Linked DNA regions of Cricetulus griseus. The protein of the gene in region 1 interacts with the protein of each later gene in a pairwise test. Links are inferred from orthologs where the notes say so. Each region holds a gene or a part of one and is shown on either strand. Other genes may lie near its edges.

Region 1 (3,500 bases):
CAGGAGAGCTGGAGAGCAGGCCAGTAAGAAAACTGGGCCAGGCAAGTTCATCAGAACACTCTGCTAGGAACAGCTCTGGCTTCATAGCTGCCTGTTTCCTTCTGTCTCTTTTGAAACACCATTGTCAACACGAGACTGACTTGTGAAAGATGAAAGATGGGATGCTATAAATCAGAGGAAAATATACTAAATGTTGATGAGCCAGCCCGACTGTACTTCAGACTCCTCAGAGGGTTCTCATTGTCTATCCTTGGATCCAGGAACAGGTGAAAGAATTAACACGAGACTTACTCTCTTTTTACTTTAAAGCATGAATGTCTTCCTGGGGGAGCCAAAGCCACATCGTGTCCTGTTAACTTCCACTTGCAGCAGCAGAGAACCATTTACTTCCTACTTTCAGGACATTCAGAAAATCATTTTTAAAGACATTTATGAGATCTAAGTATAATTATTAATAGCTTGATATGTGACAGCAATGATGAAATTGGCTTGACGGGGATTCTCTTCTATGATGTCAGCACTTAGTCAACCTTACCAGGGATTCCTCTCAGGTCTCTTTCTCTCTTTCATGAGACTTCCTTTTTGTGCATGTAAGGGAAATGTTCTTTAACCTCTGCCCCCTTCTTGAAACTCAACACACACACAGACACACACACACACCACGAAGGACCAAAGGATGAGGTTAAAAACTCACAGCAAGGGCTTAGCACTGGGAGAGCACAGACAGTCTGTTTCCAAGGCAGTTGTGATATCAGAGGAAACACAGAGTCCAGCTGTGGCCAAGACCATCAAGAAAAGGGTCTGCAACTCACCGGAGCAAATTTCCCAAGTCTGAATCATTATACATTACACTCGGTTGTTTCTGTAATGTCCTAGCTAGTGTTCCTTAGTCATCTAATTGTGTTTGACAGAGTGATGCAGTTGCTAGGAGACCACAATTGTTAAGTGAGCTTTGCAGCCGAGACTGGCGAAAACCATGCTCATTTCGCATTCAGTCGCCGCTGCTAGCTAGCCCCAGTCTCTGGCAGCGTGGCTGATCATTGCACTCAGGTGTGCCATCAGCAGGTTGGTCCTCATCGCCAGCCCTTCTTTAAACCAGAACAGTACAGGCAGGAAGAAGTCCATGGCTATTGGCTAGAAGAAGGCAGTCTGGTGTGTGGATGGTGAGTGTTGGCTCTGCAGAGAACCATCGGCTTGGACCCTGGATCCAGTCCCTACCAGCCATAGACTTTTGACAGTGTGGGTAACCTATCGGTGCATCAGCTTCCCTGTGTAAACTAGAAGTAATAGCAATATCTGCATCACAGTGTTGCTGTGGGAATTACATCTACCAAGCTCTGTGATAAGCATTACATGTTTTATGAACGTGTTTTCACCTTTATTCCTTTCTAATGAGATAGATGTGAATTCTGTAGCAAAGATGAGTTCTGTAATGTACACAAGCTAGGAAATCTCAGGACTAGGTTTTAGAATTGCACAGTACACTTGTAAAGCCCGAGTCCTTAGCCACATTTCCAGTCATAGACACCTAGAGCTCTGAGGACATGTTATAGGACACTTAATAAGTAAGCAAGTGCGGCTGTTGTTATTAGCAGTTATATAGAACTCAGCAGTGCAATACCTTAAGAGATGGCCCACAGCCTGCCTGCCTTGTTTAGGAGATGGGGCAAGGAGGGCATCTGTGATCTCATTGGAGATGGGCCCAGTTTTCCTCAAGATGACAGGATCTTCTCTACCTTGCTCCAGTCTTCTCAGAGGTTCCTATGTGTCTTCCAGGGCCAATTCGGTTACCTGGAACCCACACAAGATGATGGGCGTGTTGCTACAGTGCTCAGCCATTCTGGTCAAGGAAAAGGTTTGTACTCCCTCCAGAGATGTGCCGGCAGCAAGCACATCCCAGTGCTTGAGAAAGGAATGGTTGGCAGCCCCATTATGAGCCTGCAGACTGTCCTGTATGCCCTCCCAGCAACCTAACCTATATTTTCCCCTCAGCTCTTGTTGTCGGCTGCCCTTTGTCTTTGTTCAGTGCTGGGGTCCCTGTTGGTGATAGACCCTTCAGTGAAACTCTTTGAGTATTTCTTCATGTCTGCACAGACCTGAGTGTGATTACTGAGCCACTCAATCAATAAGAACAAACCGTGCTCACTGGAACCTACTTTGAATTCTTAGTGGATATTTGTAGTCTCCAGAGCTGAAAAAATTAGATGGACCGATAAACACAAATCCTGGCTTAAGACACCAGGGACTGTTAGCCAGAATACTTCTGTAAGGCCAGCAAGATGACTCAGTGAGTAAAGGTTGCTTGCTGACAAGCATGAGGCTCTGAGTTCTATCCCTGGGGCCCACATGGTGAAAGGAGAAACCAACTCCCTCAGATGTCTTCTGATCTCCCCTATACATCATACTGTACACATGTGTGCACACATGCAAATAAAAAAGTGTAATTTTTAAGAAAGCTCTGTAAATGCTTTGGAGACAGATTTTCTTCCTCCCCCACACCCAGTGCTCTGATGTTTCATAAGCCTGCTGCAGGAGAGGCACCCACTCCAGCCTGTCTCTTGTGGGAGTCAGAACCCACGTAGGCTCTCCTCTACTTAATTTCATAGGATGTCTTGCATAAATTGGAAGACTTGGAGGGGTAGTGTCTGGGGGGAAGGAAGTTCTTCACAGCACTAGCTTTTCCACCTGCTGAAGTTTGTACACCAAGCCCTGCCCAAAGAAGGACAACATAACTCCTCCTTGAATCTGACAAACCTCAGATGTCCCTTAGAGGCCCTTGTAGGCATCCAATACAAGAGGACATTTTCTAACCAGAGTGACAGAAGGCAAGGCAGGGTTGGGGGCAGACAGGCAGGGTTTTTTTCCAAGAGTGTCTTTAAAGGACATCTGAACTCACGAAAGGTCTGAGAAGAAAAGAGGTGTGGTTCCCAAATCCATCCTTGCACCCACAGCTCTGACTGGTGAATGCAGTTGCTTGTGTCTTGATTTCCATGACAGGGTATACTCCAAGGATGCAACCAGATGTGTGCAGGCTACCTCTTCCAACCAGACAAGCAGTATGATGTCTCCTATGATACTGGGGACAAGGCGATTCAGTGTGGCCGCCATGTGGACATCTTCAAGTTCTGGCTGATGTGGAAAGCAAAGGTATGAGGGGGAAATCCAGGAACCAGAACCGTGGCTAGCACAGACTAGCTGGTGAAGGACAGGCAGCGATGAATGGAAGATAATCCACTGAACACGTAACTGGGTCTGGATAACTGAGTTAACTATATTTTCCTTGTGAGCGGAGTAACTTCCTCCCTGTGTCAACCCTCTCTTCTTCAGCTCGTTCATCTTAGTTTGAATTAACATGGAAATGTCTTAGTCTTACAATTCTCTTTTTACTAAAAATTTTGCCAAGATAATGACTTCCATAACAACTCTTTTTTAAATTAAAAAAAATATTTTTTTTCTGTTTTGTGTATGTGTGTGTTTATGAGTGTGAGTGTTCATGTGCC
Region 2 (2,905 bases), on another chromosome or scaffold:
GTGGCCCCATAATGAAGCTTCCTGGTAGCCAGTTCCATCTCAGGGTAGAAGCTTGGGGGGAGCATGGTATGTCTACATCCTGTCTCTCTCCATAGGACTGTCCCTACTTTTCTGGTGAGAGTTGAAAACCAGATAGAACTGGACTGGTCTGGAGCTTGTTCAGAGATTGGGCATTCTGGGGACAGTTGCCCCCAGCACCTGCCTTGTGCTACCTGCATAAGGGCCAGTGGGACAGCACAACTCTGCCTGCCCCGGTGTCCTGGCTATGGGGATATGGGTCATTGCAGGGGTGACTGAAGACTGTGTGTGTACCACAGAAAGCCAGAACTACGCTCAAGTCCTAAGAAGCAGAGGTGACCTCTGACCTCTGAAACAGAAGAATCCTTCCCTCATGGTGTGTGTGTGTGTGTGTGTGTGTATGTGTGTGTGTGTGTGTGTGTGTGTGTGTGTATTCGCATGTGCGCTGCATTGGCTACTAAAGTTCCTGTGTATGATGACCTAGAACCCAAAGAACAAACTTCAAGCTGCCCAGGACACACGCTCAGATTCAACTTCCTTTTGCTGAAAACAAACACACTTGGATTGAATGTTCTCCAACCTTCTGTCTTAAGCGTAGCCCTCTCTGTCGTATTTAAGCTGTGTAACGCCTACCTGCTTCACACATGCCAGGTGTCAGTGTGATCCCTGGGCTGAGCCAACAGAGGTAACAAAGCAGCATAGCTATGCAGTGCCTGGGCTCAGAAATGCGTGCTTAACCAGAGCCCAGTCTGGACCAGGCTGCCCCTAAGCTTCCCAGATGGAAGCTCATTACCTTGAGCTCTTTTTTGGCAGGTACTATGTAGGGGACACTGTCAATGTCCTCTTCGAGAAATGGTTCTACTGCAAGGACCTTGGAACACAGTTGGCCCCCATCATCCAAGAGTAAGTCACCAGCTTGGCCCCACCCCTCACGGTCCTTCAGTTTTGTAACACCCACTGGACTTGAGCCATCAGGTGTGGAATTAAAGAGAGTCTCCCACCTTGGGGATAGGATGAGATGCTCTGCTGGGCTGGGAGGGAAAGTACGATAGGTGATCAAGTCATTCGAGGCTCTATGAATGTGTCCTGGCTCCTGCGTATGGTGTATGCCTCACTGGCATCCTAACAGGAGTGCTGCCATTCCCCTCCTGTCTGTTTGTCCCTGCAGGTTCTTCCGCTCTGAGCAATACCGGACAGGAAAGCCTGACCCTGGTGAGGCCGCCGACAGCCACATTCTCCTTCTCTTCCCTCTCTCCCTCCCTGTAGTGGATTGGGTATTGACCCAGGAACCCCGGGGTCCTCTGCCCAGAACTTCAAGCACTGAGCAAATGACACCAAGTAGCACCCAACTATGGCTGTTCAGCCATTAGGTTGCACCCAAGACCCATATATGCTATTGTGTTAGGGCCTCTGGGACCTGGGAATACTGGGGCTGGGTGGGCTGAGCCTGGAGGTCACTGCTCATCATTGTGTCGCTGGCACAGACCAGCTGCTCAAGGAGCCACCATTCCCATTGAGTACACGATCCGTCATGGAGCCCATGTCACTAAAGACCTGGCTGGATGGCCACTCCAGGGAGCTGCAGGCAGGCACATCCCTCAGCCTGTTTGGGGACACCTATGAGACCCAGGTAACACTCAACATCCATCCGTCTGGCACCTGGGAAGTGGGAAGTTGTGTGTGTGTGTGTGTGTGTGTGTGTGTGTGTGTGTGTGTGTGTGTGTGTATGTGTATGTGTAAGAGAGAGAGAGAGAGAATAGCTTTCCTGTTCTCTGTCTCAGAGTAACAGTATTTCTGTGGATGGAATTCTCTGGTAGATTCATGGTCCCACAGACACTTTTCTTTCAGAATGGGAAGTTCTTCACCCATTGTCACCTTCCTGGGTGCCTGCCACTTACCTACCCCTGGACTTTTGGCACATGGGAGCTTAGAGGCTGAAGGGAAAGAGTTATTTGGCAGAGGGCCGGGCAGCAATGTGTAGCGACCCTAACAAGCTGGCCTTTCATCTAATATTGCTCCTGCTTTGGTAAGAACAAGGCAATTGTTATGGACAAATTAACCCACAGCTGCCAGTCATGTGACAGCTTATTTACTAGAGTAACCATGGGAAGTTCTAGAAGGATAAAGAAAAAAAGTCAAGGAAGGCTCCTGGAGGAGATGAATTTTTTAATTAAAAAATTGATTTATAGCCAGGCGGTGGTGGCACACGCCTTTAATCCCAGCACTGGGGAGGCAGAGGCAGGTGGATCTCTGTGAGTTCGAGACCAGTCTGGTCTACAAGAGCTAGTTCTAGGACAGCCTCCAAAGTCACAGAGAAACCCTGTCTCGAAAACCCCCCACCAAAAATTTCTGATTTATTCATTTCACATTTATGCTTCTGTATGCTAGCCTGCGTGTATGAAAGCACATTACATGCTTGCCTGGTGCCCATGGAGGCCGGAAGAGGATGTTGGACCCTCTGGAATTGGAGATACAGATGTTTATGAATGACCCTGAGGGTCCTTTGTGAGGAACTCTAGGCATCCCTCCAGCCCCCAAGTAGAACTGTAAAGCCAGTGTACAGGCTTGCAAGAGGATGGGAGGGAGGCAGACAGAGCATTCTAGGGAAGGTAGAAACACAAAGTTTCGAAGAACAGAAACAGCCTAACCCTGCAAGCAGTTGAGGCTGGCCAGAACTAAGTGGAGAAGTTAGGATGGAAACTAGATTACTAACTGTTCCTGGAACTCTGCTGAGCTATACTTAGGGAGGGGACATGTCCTAGAGACAGTGGGGCTTCACCCAGGCATTGAGTGAGGAGACTAGAGAGGCATTTCAAAACGGTCATCCTTCCTTCGTAAGGCTGAGTTAGAGGACAAGGTGTAACAGGGAGCCCTACAAGGATCCTGG

What was found. The genes of interacting proteins can lie anywhere in the genome.
Region 2: the proteins of Gad1 (region 1) and Haao interact in a two-hybrid assay, tested with the Homo sapiens proteins (4 studies listed by BioGRID and IntAct). The two-hybrid records come from large-scale screens. The link is inferred for Cricetulus griseus from reciprocal best matches to the Homo sapiens genes GAD1 and HAAO.

The regions. Positions count from the first base shown.
Region 1 is NC_048599.1:104,598,308-104,601,807, reverse strand, and holds part of Gad1 (glutamate decarboxylase 1), read left to right. Parts: intron 1-1,776; coding exon 1,777-1,855; intron 1,856-2,997; coding exon 2,998-3,147; intron 3,148-3,500.
Region 2 is NC_048598.1:85,454,603-85,457,507, reverse strand, and holds part of Haao (3-hydroxyanthranilate 3,4-dioxygenase), read left to right. Parts: intron 1-831; coding exon 832-921; intron 922-1,186; coding exon 1,187-1,230; intron 1,231-1,502; coding exon 1,503-1,648; intron 1,649-2,905. UniProt on the Homo sapiens protein: Catalyzes the oxidative ring opening of 3-hydroxyanthranilate to 2-amino-3-carboxymuconate semialdehyde, which spontaneously cyclizes to quinolinate.